Linked DNA regions of Caenorhabditis elegans. The protein of the gene in region 1 interacts with the protein of each later gene in a pairwise test. Each region holds a gene or a part of one and is shown on either strand. Other genes may lie near its edges. The genes, in order: sma-9, klf-2 and sex-1.

What was found.
Region 2: the proteins of sma-9 (region 1) and klf-2 interact in a two-hybrid assay, tested with the Caenorhabditis elegans proteins (one large-scale study listed by BioGRID).
Region 3: the proteins of sma-9 (region 1) and sex-1 interact in a two-hybrid assay, tested with the Caenorhabditis elegans proteins (one large-scale study listed by BioGRID).

Annotation. Positions count from the first base shown.
Region 1 is NC_003284.9:10,770,889-10,776,430, forward strand, and holds the start of sma-9 (Transcription factor sma-9), read left to right. Parts: upstream 1-2,202; coding exon 2,203-2,766; intron 2,767-2,818; coding exon 2,819-2,974; intron 2,975-3,042; coding exon 3,043-3,580; intron 3,581-4,004; coding exon 4,005-4,456; intron 4,457-4,641; coding exon 4,642-4,717; intron 4,718-4,941; coding exon 4,942-5,351; intron 5,352-5,399; coding exon 5,400-5,537; coding exon of another isoform or gene 5,538-5,542. UniProt on the Caenorhabditis elegans protein: Transcription factor, probably acting as a transcriptional activator and repressor, involved in the TGF-beta-like dbl-1 signaling pathway.
Region 2 is NC_003283.11:20,682,418-20,687,959, reverse strand, and holds the start of klf-2 (Kruppel-like factor 2), read right to left. Parts: upstream 2,278-5,542; 5' UTR 2,262-2,277; intron 2,231-2,261; 5' UTR 2,144-2,230; intron 1,053-2,143; coding exon 864-1,052; intron 816-863; coding exon 395-815; intron 350-394; coding exon 290-349; intron 1-289. Other genes in the region: srsx-35 (G-protein coupled receptors family 1 profile domain-containing protein), read right to left, coding at 4,946-5,114, 5,158-5,359, 5,406-5,539. UniProt on the Caenorhabditis elegans protein: Probable transcription factor which regulates lipid metabolism.
Region 3 is NC_003284.9:10,202,091-10,207,632, forward strand, and holds the start of sex-1 (Steroid hormone receptor family member cnr14), read right to left. Parts: upstream 3,332-5,542; coding exon 3,158-3,331; intron 3,044-3,157; coding exon 2,851-3,043; intron 1,928-2,850; coding exon 1,779-1,927; intron 1,167-1,778; coding exon 1,025-1,166; intron 638-1,024; coding exon 441-637; intron 386-440; coding exon 1-385. UniProt on the Caenorhabditis elegans protein: Transcriptional regulator which is involved in the sex determination and X chromosome dosage compensation pathways.

The DNA.
Region 1 (5,542 bases):
ATATCACTTGAGAAAATAAAGTCAAGGATACAGTTTCCACATAGTTGATCTCCGTGTGTTGCCACTCCTCTCAATATGGAATATATGGGCGGCCTGTTTTCGCTTATTTTTCCTTCGCTCGGCGTCTATTTTCTTCGTCTTTTCTCCACTCTTTCTTCTCACTCGTCAAAACCACATAATGATCACGTGAACCTTCACTTATTTTTCACCTGCTTCTTTTCCTGTCCTCTACACGTTTGTCTGATGTTTAATCACAGTTGTTTTCCTGCCTCGGCCTCTTTTCAAACTCCTCGGGGTGTTTCCTTTTTTTTTCCTCTCTCTCTTTTTTTCTGTAGTGCTTCCTTTATTTCTCATTTTTCTTTTCTTGCTTTTCATTCACCAGGCCCCTTCTTTTTTTTCTATTTCTCATCCATCCAAAGTGAGGGAGAAAAAGAGAGAAAAAGAGTGAAAGAGTGCTTTTCTGTGCACACATATCACTTGGTCTGTTAGTGTCATGGGACCCCGGGGCATTTCCTCCTGTTTATCGTTTTCTCTGGGTTCAAACGAGAAAGGATCTTTCGGAATTGTCAAGGCTCAAGCATCTCTTCTGAGCCAATGAGTGTTTTTTCTCTTTATCACAAATGTCTTTTACTTTTTACACGCTTTTTACAAGATTTGAATGATTTGTTTCCGAAGAGATAGAGAAAATAAAGATATTAATCATGAAAACTTGTTAATAGAGTACCGTAATTGGTGAGGTTTAGCTTATTTGAGTGCAGAAAAATTTAAATCTTGAAGTTTTCTTGGCGAAAAATTAAAAAAAAAACAGCAGAACTGTGAAATAAATATTTGCAGCTACCAGATACATCTATTTTAGTCATTTGAATTATTGAGAAAAACAGACTACATAAATGAACTACAGTATACAACTTGAATTAAAAAAGGAGTTTTTGACTGAAAAATAACCATTTTCTAGCTTTAATAGACATAGTTTTTGGCTTTGATTTTTTGTTAACGAAAGCAACTAGAAAACATTCAAATTTCAAATGTATTTAGTCATTTTCTGCATATCAAAACTATTTTTTTAAACCTGATGCTCCAAGTGTTTAGTTAAATTTATATGTAATAAATAATTTTGTTTTCCATTAATATCAGTTTTGATAAAACTAAAGTAATACAGTAGTTATCCACCACAATTTGGTGCCCTGATTGTCCTCTTAATATTTTAATTGTACGAAATTTTGCCATCAACCAACCACACTCACTTTTTTTGGTAACTTTTCTTCCCATTTCTCTACTTCTCTTGCATTTTGTTATTTCACAATAGTCCACTCTATCTTCTTTTTCCAATGTCCCTCTCAAATCATTCGCGCCCTGTTTAGCACCCATAGAGTCATTGATCACTTGGCCAACAGCCGGTCTCCCGGTAATGATAACGGGAAAAGTCAATGAACATTGAGTGAGAAAAAGAAAGAAAGAGAGAGAAAAGGACAGAGAGCAGCAAATGTGTATGTCACACACTCTTTTAGTCTCATAGAATACTAATCGATCACAATCACAAGTTACAAAGAAGTGTTGAACATTTTCAAGAGCTGCAAATCTGTGATAAGGTGACGAAGAATTGAGGTGACGTACTCTTTTCCCGTTTTTTTAAATTGTGATAGTGTGAGTGAAAAGATTGCGCGAGTAATGGGTAACCGTTTCGAAGACTGAACTGCATTCATGAGAGCCTCCAATCTGTTGCAGGAGTCAAAGTGAGGCAATTTGCGTCTTGATTTGATATGAATAGAAAAAGAATGAACGACAATATATTGTCTTCTGTTTTGATTAATGATTTATTTCAAGACATTGTATACAGTCTTAAAAACATTTGGCAACGGTTTTAGTAATTGTTATTTTTATTCCCCTTCATTCATTGTAATGAAACATATTAGAGAAATCAGTATGAATCAAATCAGAACGACGTTTGAATTGATAGGAATGAAGAAAAAACGTGACCACTCTTCCCCGAATCATTAAAAGTGAACCTTGTACCCAGTTTGCTGTAGACAAGTAACTTTCATGCTAATTATGGTCTCATGTGAACGTCACATGGTTCCAATCACTTTCTCATTATTTTTTGTAATACGTCTTCATCTCTCATTTTCCCCCTTATCTCACTTTGTTTTACGATGAACTTAACTTACATGAATCAAACTTAAAAAGTGGTTTTAGAATTGGCGAATGAGCCATCAGGCAATTGGAATCTCGAACAACTTTCAGCAGGTACAACGTGAGCAGCTAAATCATCAACGATTATTACAAGCACAGCTCCAGACTAATGGACCTGGAAGTGTTTCTCAGCAGCAGCAGGCTTCGCAGCAACAACAGCAAGTGCAGCACGTCCAGCAGCAACAACAGTCGCAGCAGCAACAGCAACAAGTTGCTTCACAACAAAACCAGCCGCAATTGCAAATGAATGCTCAGATACTGCAAGCTTTGTCAACACCACAAGGACAAAATTTAGTTAACATGCTTTTGATGCAACAGGCACTTAATGCGCAACAGACTGATACTCAGAATCCACAACAAATTATGCAACATCAATTAGCTCAACAGCAGGCACAACAAGCTCAGCAAGCTCAACAAGCGCAACAAGCTCGACAACAGGCAGAACAACAAGCTCAAGCCCAAGCTCGTCATCAAGCTGAGCAGCAGGCTCAGCAACAGGCACAGCAACAGGCGCAGGCACGGCAACAAGAACAACAAGCTCAATTAGCAGCTATTCAACAGCAAGTCACGCCACAGGTTTGTGTTTAGTACAAAATTGATAATTCGAAACTTTGATTTTTATTTTAAGCAATTTGCTCAAATATTGCACATGCAACAGCAGCTTCAACAACAGCAGTTTCAACAACAACAGCTCCAGCAGCAACAACTTCAGCAGCAGCAACTGCAACAGCAACAACTTCAACAACAACAGCTCCAGCAGCAACAGTTACAACAGGTTCTACAGGTGAGTTGACACAGAAATAGCATGTTGATAACTTGAAATTGGCGTTATTTTATTTTTTTTTTCTTCAGATCTCACAAGCCCAACAACAAGCTCAACAAGCTCAGCATGTCCAGTCTAGACAAATGCAGCCGTCCCAACAGAGCCAGGTACAGGCGCAACTCCAGCAGCAACAGCAATTGCAGCAGCAACAAGCTCAGCAGCTTTCACAGCAGCAGGCGCAGCAGCAACAACAATTACAACAGTTACAACTGCAGCAATTTCTTCAACAACAGCAACAGCTTCATCAGCAACGTGCGGCTGCCCAACAAGCTCAGGCTCAGAACAATGCTTCACAACAACGCCCGTCGGTTGCATCGACGCCTGCATTGTCTTCAACTCCACAGTTGAATGATCTTACACAGACAATGCAAGCCCAGCTTCAACAGCAACTGCTTCTCCAACAGCAACAGGCTCAGGCTCAACAAGCTCAACAAGCTCAGCAAGCACAACTAGCTCAACAGGCTCAACAGCAACAGCAAGGGCAGTCTCAAAATAGAACAGTTTCTCAAGCACTGCAATATATTCAGTCTATGCAACTGCAGCAAAGAGCCGATGGAACCCCAAACGGTACGTTTAAATTTTGTATTTTTCTCTGTTTTCATTTTCTCACGTTCACACGCTTCACAACTCTGTGTCTGTTTCCCTTCTCTGTTTTCCCAGTTTCTCCCTTCCCGTTTTCCATCGTTTCCCTTTTTTGCCAGTCCACATACGTTCAACCACACAACCACACCACAACTCTTTGAAAATTATCCGATATACGTATATGACATCAAAAATATCATAGAACATTTTGTTTCCATTTGTTTTTTTTTGAAATATGCATGCAAATAGATAGTGTGTAAACCAACAATAATTAGAAAGTGATAAAGAATGAGATTTTTGTAACCATTACTTCAGCTTTTCTCCTGAATCATCTTCTTCTCTTTTTCTGTGCACCACCTTCTAACCATTGGTTGTTCAAACACGCTTACCCAATATTTTTCCCCTTCAGCAGAGTCACAAGAAGAGAGGTTGGCTCAAATGCTGAACGAACAACAGCAGCGGATGCTGCAAAATCAGGCGCGCGAGGCACAACATCGTCAGTTGCTCATTTCTTCGACGCCTGCTCCTCGAGGTGGTATCACCATGGGAACTCCAATTGGTATTGCAAGGAGAGAAGAGCAGCCGGTACCGTCTACGGTGGCGGTAACGACGGCACCGGCTGCAGTCCGCACGCCTGTTGCTGTGCCACCTATGAAACAAAATTCTAACCCTTCCATGAATCCATCATCCACATCTACGTCTGCATCTGCCACAAGCAGTCATCAGATTTTAGCCCCCTCGCTCTCCAAACCACTTGAGCAGCCTTCCTCGTCGAAGGCCGCATCGTCTGGCAACGAGTCGATGTCGGACCACATCAGCCGAATCATCTCTGAGAACGAAGTCATTCTTCAAGGAGACCCGGTGAGTGCCGAATTCTTCTAGCGTGATGGGTTTTCTTTTTTTGAATAATTCGCCCCCTGGAGTTTGATGAAATGATACGGAAACAATACCAGACCAAAATAAAACAAAACCTTTCATGTTTTTATTCATAATTTCAAATCTCATTTGTCCTTCTGTTTGACGTCTTCGAATCTGTCCATTTACAGGTGATTCGCAAAAAGCGGCCATACCATCGGCAAATAGGTGCGCAATCCTCGGTCGATCACGACAGTAATAGTGGTGGTGAGTTGTGGTGTGGTTGAGTTTCTTGAAAGCATCGCTCCATTACCCTTGTCCTTCTATCCCAAGACAAGATATTGTCTCCTTCTATTACTCGCCCCAACGTTTCCGCTATACCGTCTCGATTTGCATGCCAGTGCGTGTCTGCACGTGTCCATATCTGCATATTATATATTGATGAATATTGTGATTGTCCCGTTTGTCCCTTAATGTTTTATATTTTTCAGGATCAACAAGAACTTCGCCTGGGCCAAAAGACAGTCGTATGTTGCAAGCTGCTAGTCGGAGCCAGAGTTTATTCGAGCTTAGTGGATCAAAACATTTCATGGGCAGCTTGACTAGTGGTCAGCCATTGCTTCGTCCGATTCAGGCACATAATGATCCTAACTACACACCGGAGTGTATATACTGCAAACTCACGTTTCCCAATGAAGCTGGTCTCCAAGCTCACGAAGTTGTTTGCGGAAAGAAAAAAGAGCTAGAAAAAGCACAAATAGCACAAGAAGGAAACCCGCATAGTGCTCTGAAGCGTCGTCACACTCATCAAGATGCAACGTTAGCAATGCATTCTCCACTTGCAGCCCACACACCGTCGAACATGCCTGGTCCTTCAGAGCCTGCAATAAAGTTGAAAAAAGTAAGTAGTCTTATTTAATTAGCATTACATCATCGTTGAATGTTTTAGGATGACTCTACTGAACTAGACGGTACATCAAAACCTGACGCTCTTCAATCCTCCTCATCATTTCCTAGAAGTTTACCAAAGGAGTGGGAACAACATATGTTAACGCTTCAAAATCTTGCCGCCATCATTCCGCCATTTGTAAG
Region 2 (5,542 bases), on another chromosome or scaffold:
AATTGACAGTTTATTGATACTTTACAACTCCTTATTCGATACTTCTAAAAGGGGGATGCCGCGAAGTACCGGACAAGGCCAAATATTGATATGGACTAACATAACATAGCAACAGTAGTTGATTCCTGTGCATTCGTTACAAAAAGTATCTAGTGATTGATGAGAAGCGTGTTTGTCAACGGAAGTATCCCGTTACACAGAACAATGTGCCGACGAGTGCGCGCTGTTCACGACATTGAAGAGGAGGATATGATTAATTATGTATAATGAGGTTCTGTAAGCTACTCACCACTATGAACACGCTCATGAGCTGTTAGATGGGAACTTTTTGTGTAGACCTTGCCGCAACCTGAAAATGAAATTCAAGCTTAAGCTAAACACGCTTGCAACTTACCTTGATAAAAACACTTATGAACTCTTAATCGATCCAAAGTAGCCTTATCCCTCCGTTTACTCGGCACCTTTTTTGGTTTTTCAGTGCTCTGCGGATGATATACTCTTCCACGATCTTTTAAAGGAATCCTGGGATCTTCCTCGTCTTTACCCGACAAATCGCTTGAAAATGAGTAACTGGATACAGACGCTGCAGGCGATGGAACGAATAACTTGGCTTCAAACGGATATGGTGTCGAGCTTCCCGAGTTTTGATGTTCCATTGGAGTCATCGAAGGTTCCATGTGATTGAGGTGAGTTTCGGAATTATTCTGTTGTGGAAAGTCATGGGAAAAATTGAAAGAACTGTGCGGGCCTTGTGGAATATTTTCTTCGAAAGTTTGTTGGACATGGTTATGATGATTGTAGTGCTGCTCGATGACCTCAAAAAATAGAAAATTGAATTTAAAAACTTCAATTAAATACAAAACCTGATTATTAACAGGTCCCGTATGAAAATGATAGTTGTGAACATTGATGACTGGAGCCGCAGCTGCTCCATTATAATGATGATGAGATTGTTGGTGATAATGCTGCTGATGATGTTGGTGATGGGCATTTTGGTATTGAGACTGATGATAGTAACCATTTGAACTAGACGGGACTATGCTAGAGTACATCTGGAAGGAGTTGTAGATGAATAACGATAAATTGAAAATCACCAAAAAAGAGTGAGACTCTGAAACGAATTTTCAAAAATTACATTGTAACAGAAGGTCAAATAAAAATTAGCATAGGCAAATACTAATTCATTTTGTGGTTAAAAAAAGATGTAATGCCTGAACCTAATTGTATGCATAGTTCTAAATTTGTAGTGAAAATCTTAACCATAAGCCAAAGTAAGGCAACTTCTACTAGTAGATAGTACAAATATTCCAACACTACAACAACACCATGTAATACCGTTGTGCATACACACACGCACAAATGTGACGTCTTCATTCTCGTTCAATACATTTCAAGTCATAAAAGTCTTGCGTTCTTCTTTGCCTACTGCTTACTTTTCGATATTTGTTGTGAATTTTCAAAGCGAAAGTTGTAGTTCTTGTGAATATGTTTTTACGTCATATCACAAGTGTATATACAAATAGGGGGAATTAGTAGCAAAATTTTTGGATCTTTTTGATATTTAGAGAATTCACACTCAAACCGAAATATTCAAGAGATAAGAAAGTTAAAGGTGGAGTAGCGCCTGTGAGAATTTTGTCTCACTTATATTAAACCAAAGCGACAAAATATCATGATGCAACACTCCTAAAAATTTTAGGTTTCTCATAATTCCAGGTCAAAGTTTTGGCACATTGCCAAAATATTGAAAAATATGAGCCTTTGAGGAAATTCAATGCAGTGTCGCATGTTCCGACCCCTATAATTTTTTAAAACAAATAATTAAAACAAAATGAAAATATAAAAAATGCAAGAAATTTTTTTCCGACTTCTAAAATTATGAGTGGCAAAGAATGAGCACTTGTCAGTTTTTGACAGTAAATAGAAAAATTTCAAAATTTTTTTGAAAGTTTTATTTTGATATTCGGTCATTTTTGACACCATAGGAGTTGTTTTTAGCATTTTCCCCAATGGCGCTGCTCCATTTTTAAGAACTTTCAAGTTCGAAATTCTGGGAACTAACTACTAACTATAAGGCTCTAACTCTCAATGCACTGAACACGTAGGAACTAACTCACTAAAAACAAAATACCTATGTACTCACCACAAAGAACAAAACAATGTTAATGCTAGATTACAATACGTGCCTTCATTAGTAGAGCATCTATCGTGAAACTAAAGAAAAATGACTAATGTTTCCACAAAAATAAACATCCTAAGCGAATATACACACCTCTTCTGGTCTACAAAAAAGTGAGCTCCCCAGGCTCCAAAAAAGGGGTGTGGTGACACCAGACCGGTCACTCCTATGATAACAAACAGAAAACTTGAGCAAACTTTTCTTTCCCCCCAAGAATAGAAAATACAGAAAACTTGAGCATGTGTAGATGGTGGTCATGATATGTTTGATCTAAAGATTACGACACTTTTGGGCATTTCGAAAAAAAATAAACATGTCAAGAAGACGATGGTCAAGCTAGAAGAAAATTATCCAAGAAGGCGCACATATGCCCTGCAAGTGCCATTTTATGATAGCATGTCAAAACTGATAGGCATGGGCAAACAGTAACCAAAAAACGGGGAGGTTTGTTGTTTCTCTGAGAAAGGGGTGGCAGAAAGGTGTGTGCGCGGAAAATGTGTGGAGGGGAGATGGGTGTCATTAATAGAAGAAGGAAGGGAGTTTTTTGGGAAAAGGACATGTGATAAATAATTTTGTTTTCAAAGTTCAGAAATTTTATAGAAAGAACACAAGGCTTTGTAGTGCTCCAAAGTTATGCCGGTTTTGATCAATAGTACAGTACATCACGGGTGGGTGGCAAACGATTTTTCCGGCAAATGGGCAAATTGCCGGCAAATCAGAAATTCTATTTCTATGAAAATTCTATGAAAATTTCAAAAAAAAAAACGGAAAAAAATTCAAAAAGGCACAGTTTTAAGTGTTTCCGTCTTATAAAAAAAATCCCTCTAAACATTTTTGGCAAATCTGATATCCATCAAATTGGCAAACCGGCAACTTGCCGAAAATGAAAATTCCGACAAATAGGCAAACCGGCATTTTGCCTATTTGCCGGATTTGCGGACAGTCAAGTCACAACCAAGATTTGGTTTTAAATCTGAAAATGACGTGCGGGACTAAAAACAGAAGGGAAATGTAGACGCTAGATTGAAAAAAAAAACTATACATATCCACAAACAGTATCACTTACAGTACTCTAAAATGATACCCCAATGCTGTGTTTATCCAAACGTCCCCCCCCTCCCACCTCCAATTTTAGTACCCTCTTCCCTACCGCCTCGCCTTGCTACAGTCGGGAAGTTATGATTTTACGGGTGCGAACAATCCAGTAAGTGGGTGCGGAAGAGGAGGAAGCAGTGATTACTGTTAAAAGTGCCGACTAGGTATGTAAACGTACTTGAGAATATTGTTTGGACGGGCGGTCTCCTTTTTTTCAACTGCGGCGGGACCATATCAGTTTTATGATTGATTAATGTTTGATATATTGAGATAATGGAAAGGTGTGTTCGACTGGTAAAACTCGCAGTATGGTTTTAACTGAGGCAACTCCAGCAACCTAATTCTTTGTAAAAATTGTAACCGTCAGGATTTTGAGTTTTGACAAAAAAAACTAATAAAAATATTAGAAGATCTCGAAGAGAATTCAGATGTGAGTAAACAAGTATGTACATATGTTCTGAAATATATTTATATATACACATATATATTTACATAGACATACAAATTTAGTGGCAATGTATCTTTTTGTCTGACACTCTACATTTTTGCGTGTTTAAAAGTGCAAGATGAGTCGTAAACAATTTTCATTCGATTTTTGGAATCTGGTTTTTAAAATTGAACAGCAAGTAATAGATCGTAAAAGCAACACAAACCAATAAGGACGTTGCAAATTGACCGGAGATTTCTGAAATTTGTTTTTTTTAAATTTAAATTGTTGATGTACTTACTTGCAATAATATGTCACCAGGACCATAATCAAATTTCCAGTAGTCCCAATTACAAAAACTGTACAATAAATAACGAAAAGGATAATTAGAAGAGGTTCCATTTTTTGAGACAACGGAAGTGAGAAAATACAATAACTACAATCTATTATATAGGTATTTTTTATATCCTCTATAATTTGTATTATGAAAATAGGTGAATTCTAAGAATCCCTTAAAAAATATATATAATAACTTTAGTATAATAGTCGTTAAAAATATTTCTAGTTTTCGCAGATAAGTACATAAAAAACAAGACTATCTAAGAATAATCAAAAATCTTTTCCAGAATTATCTTGTTTCTAGATATGATAATCTATTACATATAATAGGACCTCATTAGTCAGCTTATCTTGAAAACGATACAATATACAAAATAACTCCCAACACAATCGTAATTCTGACCTTCTTGGTTGCATTTTTCGCGCTCCATTGACAATCGCCTGCCGGAGATGACGCGTGTAAAAGTCGAGTACTCTAAAGGGACAAAAAAAAATTCAGTTTTACAACAAAAACCAATCCGCGACGCGGCACTCAACGCTCCGTAAATCTACCCAAGATGCGGCCGAGCCAAAATGGCCTAGTTCGGCAAACTCTAACATTTCAATTTATGATGGAAGCCAGACCCGCGTGGAAGATGCAATCAAAATTGACAAAAAGATCTCGTACCATACTTTCAAAAATTATTTTAGAATGCTGGTACATTTCGGAAGTTTAATGATTCTTGACGTGGACAAGAAAATATTTCAACATGAACATTTTTTTGGCCTAACCTTCACAATATTGCAATACTACAGAAAATTACATTTATTTGTACAGGATCACACAAAAATCAATAGTAAGCAAAGTATACAACGATGTGATTGAGGTAAGAAAAATATATTTAAAAAATTCTTTAATGCAAATCCTAGATATGAAGTTCTTGTTGAATCGTGTTCAACGCGTTTGTATTAGTAGATGGTCTCTGAATACTTGATCTCTGTGCATCTGTAGCTTGTTGATAAGTGGTTCCTTTTGCTATGGATATTTCATTCGAGAGACCAAGCATTGTGCGCATTGCTGAACGGTAGTCTCGACTGAAAGAATGTTTTGGGCTAGAATTAAAAAATTTCAAATTACCTCAATTTGTAATACACCACGGCATTAAATGCGCTCGACGTGAATATAAACGTTCCGCAGTACAACTGAATCATTCTTGCCACGTCCTTATCCATTGGCAGTGTTACCGTAAGCGCACCAATCAAGTCAGTCGTCATCCAACCACATACAACAAGGCATACAGTGACCATTAATGATTTGAAGACTGCTTTCATTGAGCTATCTAAATTTAAGCGTAGAATTTCCTCAACTTCTCGTTGGTTAATTACTCATTCTCATATTTTTGATCTTAAAATACACATATGCGTAGATGGGCGGTACAAAAAGATTTATGACAAACGAGGTGAGAGCAAACATATCATAGGCATGACCCAATGATTCCGGGAGTAGGCAAACGACATTTCTA
Region 3 (5,542 bases), 570 kb from region 1:
GTTGTTCCGTGGTTAGTGGCTGGCAAAGAATAAGGACAATGAATAGTGCAATATCTCCGTCTGTACATCCAATTGTAATGATATGGTTTGCAAATGCAAGCATTTCGTCCGCCAATGATCCATAGAGCAGTTGAAGAGACTTAAAGTCAATGAGTCTTCCATCTCGAAGCATAAGCCCTCTGTTCGACATTCCACGAACAATGCGAAGCAAGTAGAGTGGGAAAGCGTTTTTCCTGAGTAAAACTGCTTTGTCGTTTCCGTTAATGAAATTAAATTTTGGAATTTCTTTCACAAAGTTTACAACTTCCTTGATGTCCACGTCAATTTCATGAGCATAAATCTGCCAGGCATTCAATCGATTCATTTTTGAGTCTTCATTGATTCTCTGAAACATTTTAACGTTTAGTATGATTTTAAAAACATGCCCAAAAGTTACTTACGACATTGAATGGTCTTGCAACAATACTTCGGATTTTAATGTCAGTGTAAAATGAGAAGGTAGTGTGTGCTCGGAGTACAGCTTCATATACGGCGTCAACTTCTTCTTGCCGTTCTAGCGTTGAGATTTCCGGAACAAAAACGGAATCGGGGCTCTTATCATCTCGCATTGCATTTCTGAACTTCATTTGGCGAACAGCTGAAACAACATTTAAATCTTTATTTTTTTTGAAAAACTTGAACTCGGTCTTCCAAAAAGTTTTTGCTTAAAACAGGTACGGTTTTCTTTTTTTTATGAGTTTTTTCTTTTTTTAATGAGTACTTGTGAATCCTATAGAACACTATTTGAACATGTGAAAATTTAGCTTGAAATGTTTTCAGAAAAACTAATGGTTTCAGGTTTTATGACGAATATAGAAATCGTTTTCGTTTCAGCTTATTGAGGCTTCACAGTGATCAAACCTTAAAACCTCAATAGACTTTGATTTCTAATAAATTATCATTTGTGTAAACCCTATTGAGCCAACTGCGTCAGGTGTGTTTGACACCACAAAATTGTTGCACACTTCTATCTGATCAAACTTACAATCTTTTGACATTCCAGAATCAAGGCATTTTTTGAAACGACAGTACTGGCATCTGTTGCGGCTCTCGCGTTTGATCTCACAAACTTGCTGTTTCAAACACCGGTAATCAATCTTGCGCTGAATGCTCCGACGGAAGAATCCCTGAAAGAAATAGTTAATTCAAAAAAAAACTAATTTGATGGCACGTGTCGGTGCCAAGAGTACGCCCCTTGTAAAGGATTTACTGCCTTTGTGCTGAAGTCGAACCATTTTTTGAAATCTCAAAATGTGAGCGGGGCGTTGTGATGTGTAAATGACCAAGAATAAAGAAGGGAAGAATGAGGGATTCAAATTTAAATTAGTCATCTTATCCGCTTAAACTTTCTCGTTCAGTTGATGTTTTTCTTTGTATCTAACGCACTTGCTCAGCAGACCAACCAACCATGTTTTATTAACCGTCATTATATGTATTTGCCGAGTAAGGCTTGTTCCTCTTATGTTAGTATGCATCCAAGACACTCGCACAATGGGAAAAGAGAGTCCTTAATGCACATAGCAATACACAGTCTCCAAATAATTGCGCAATTTGTGTTGGGGAAGTGCTCATTCTCTCGCTCTTGGTCTAACATAAGGGAAAACAAAAAATCAAATAAGACGGTCATAAATATAGGTTTCGTAAATAGAACAAGAAGGGGATTTATGAGTGGAGAAGGGTTTCATTAAATTCAATAGAACCACGTGATTAGTGATCATTTTAGGACCATTCATGCCTACCTTGCATCCTTCGCATGACGTCACTCCGTAATGGTATCCACTTGCTTTGTCTCCGCATACTTTGCAAAATGAGATCGCCTTCCCAATGTGATGACGTTGAGTGGTATGACCATTTGATAAGGAATCAGGAGGAGACAACGATGAAGTTACTGTAAATGTAAAATTATCTAAGAAATTTTAGAAGAGTCAATTTTCAAGTGGGTGATATGGTCATACAACATTTCTTCGATTCTTCGAATTCTTCTGTTTTATTCTTTTTCTAAACTTATTTACACATCAGAAATATACAAATTTAACTCAACTTGGCAGATTACAGATTTAACATGCTATGTATACCAGTGAAATTTATTGAAGTACACTGTGCACACCATATTTGTTTCCTTCTCAATGATGACGTGATAGTATTTACCTAGTTTTCCTTGGTCCCGTTCTCTCCGCGACTCAGTAAGCTCTTAGCCACATCTTCAAGATTTGTGGCATATGCGTTCTCATTGTCTCTCTCACTCTCACAGTCTTTTTACCACGCCTACATCGCACTCTTTCACCGTTCTCTACGTTCTCCTCCTTTATTACACTTCGTCTTCTCCTCTTCTTTCACCCATCGGCATTCTTTTATTACCGTACCCATACATCACTGTGGTCTGGCAGCGGACGTCCAAAGAAATGACGAAACCTGGAGATTATTACGCAACCACGTCATAGCCGCTTGCCTTCACTTTCGTTGTACAAAAGTAGGCCATCTTAGAATACAGGAAGATACGTGGAACAGAGCACAACTGATCTGGTCCCTATCGAGCTAAATATGATCCAGAGAGGGAAGAGATGAAGAATGATTGCAAAGTCTATTAGACTTTTTCATTTTCTCTGCTCTCATTCTTCTATCAATTAAATGGGAGAAATAAAGAAAAAAGGCGAGAGAAACTCGGAAACTTGCAACACTTCTCAGACACATGTTCTTAGGTGAGGAAAAAAATCTGTGTTGCTGTAGATGTTGCTGCCACTTGTCACCACACACTTGATGATATGCCCCACCTACTGATAGATTTTGATAGAAATAGACTCCCTAACTTACCACTTGTTGCCGGCGAGCTCACGCTGGCTTGTGACGCCGTATCATAGAACTGATGGTGATTGTACCCATTGACGTTATTGAAGTAGCGACGGTGTGAGAGAGGGTCAGCGTAGTTGTTGGCGTTACCACTTTGAGCTGCTGTCGATCCGTTTTGGATTTGGAATTCTGACGAGAATTCATCCGTCACGTACGTCTGCAAATTGAGAAGATTTAGTTTTCAGTTTAATTCCTGGATTTCTATTTTGAAACTACGCATTAACTTTGTAAATCAGAACAAAATATGAAAATGATGACGACAAAAACTTACAGCTCCAGTCGGAAGATGTGACCATTGACCATTTGTTCCTTCTGGTTTGCTTGCCTCTGATGATGGAATTGAAGCTGTTTTTCCAGAAGGGCTGTAGTATGGAGATGTGCATACAGAAAGCGGTGTGTCAGGATTTGTCAGTAACAGATAGTTAGGTTTTGTTTCGAAACTCATCTGAAAATTAAAATTATTGAGTAATGCAGTAACGGACAACTTTCACAGTGGGAAGAGACAGAGAATTGGTAAGAGAATTATCTGAAAGGTAAAAGAAAGAAATGGAAAATCTGCTGACAAAGGAAAAGAACAGCAGTTCGAGAAAAACGTGATAACAATTTGATGAAGAGAACATGGAAAGCTAGAATCTAGAAATCAACAATTAGTTTTTAAAGCAGGGAACTATTAACTAGCAATAAGGAAGGCTGGTATCGTGTATTAATCTGCGCTGAATGCCTGCCTGTGGGTGAGAGGATGGGGAGAGACGAGGAGGATAGGCGGAGCTGAGGAGGAGTGCACCACTGGGAGATTGCTCGACAAGCAAGCACATTTCGATTAAAAAAACGGGTGGCATGAGGTGAGCTTCACACATGGTTTTAGAGTAAAATTTTACCTTTTAATTGATATTTTAGTACCGGAAAGTAAGAAACGTGTTCAACTTCTTAAATTAAAATTCAAAAGTGATCTGAATAGAACAATTTCCAAAAGCATTATGAAGTTTCCAACAAATTCAACTAGGTTGAGAAGATGTGATACAATTTATAACTACCTAGTATAGTCCTTCACATGTTAAGCCGCTACTACACATGTGTGCATTTTTTTTTTAAAAGTTTTTGGTAGAAATCATGGATGCAAAAATTGATCAGCCAAGTCCACAATCACGCACAAAAATAAACGAAGATAGTTTGAGCGAACAAGATTACTGCGTTCTCCCCCGAGAAAATGATTGCGTTGTTCTAGGCAATTCTTGCGCAATTTGCAATTAGATATTCCATACACAATGTGTTGCATGGTTGCGTGCCTTTCTCACAGGAAAAAACTAGGGAAGAGGAGACGGTAAGATAAAGCAACAGAAGGAGGGCTCGAGATGAAGTACTATCCACTCGAGCTCACTTCACCATCATGTTAAGGTGTGAATTGACACCTCTTGGGTGAGGAGAAGTGACGAGATGTTGGGAAGCGATGACGTGTAGTGAGAAGAGTAAGATAATAATGTTTACAGAGTTGCAAAGAATCACACAGAGAAAACTCAACAAACTAGAGATATGCACAATGAAAAACAAAATATCGATCCAAAAAAGTGCGGACTGAGAGAGAAGAGGAGGCAATGCAGTGGTCCGCAATTGTTGGAGATGAAAAACGAGACAACTGTGATCGAGAAATGAACAGTCTGCAAAGGGGAGGAGAAGAGGCGAATGCGCACAACAAGACACCGTCTGGAAAGAGGTCTGCCGGTTTACAACCACCTTTAAAAATTGGTGCACATCGCTTGCGCATACACAACTTGGGAGATGAAATATATAGGACGGGAGGATACTCTAATAAGAGTGAATATTATTAATATCTCCAAAAATGGCACATAATATAGCACATAACTTCAACAATTAACGCTCGCCGGCTATTGCGTGAACTGTGTAACTAGTAAGGCATCTAAATTACTAACGGAATTCTAGATCACCAATATTTCGTCCTCCACTTGTACACTCGGACATAACAATACACCTTCGTGCACATCTTTCCCTAGCTAACATCTCTTAATGATGCAACTTATGCCTTTTCCCCGGTTTCTATTACGAAGAGACGTTTCAGTAACATGCACAATCTTTATGAGTTCACGAATTGCATTCCCGTTTCACAAATAAACTTCACCCTAACTTTGTACTTTATGGAAAATTCATCAAAACGACAGCTGGAACTGTTAAAGCATAAAAGACTCTCTGCGAAATTTTGTGCATCTGTCGATGTACTTTCTTCAAAATGACGAATTTTTGAACAATTCATAAATTTGTTTCTATTGCACCATGTTCTTCCATCTACACAGGCATTTTTCCAAGAAAAAAAAGAAAACAGCTGTTTCATTTTTCTCTACTCTTAACGATTTAAGATACATAAGCAAGATAAAAATCATCAGGAAAAACGTAAGGGAAAGTGTTTTCCATGACACAAAACATTATCTAACCGATGAAGTTGATTAGATAGTGCAATGCATGGTCCGTAAAAGGGGCATAATTAACTGATAATGATTATTTGTAATAGAAAAAACTATGTTCTGTGTTTTCAGTTGTTTTAAAGGGATAGAAAGTTTGAAAGTGTTAAAAACACTGAAACTAATATTCATACTGTTTGAATTAAGAAAATATAAAAATCGCAAAAAAAATATATTGATCTGGA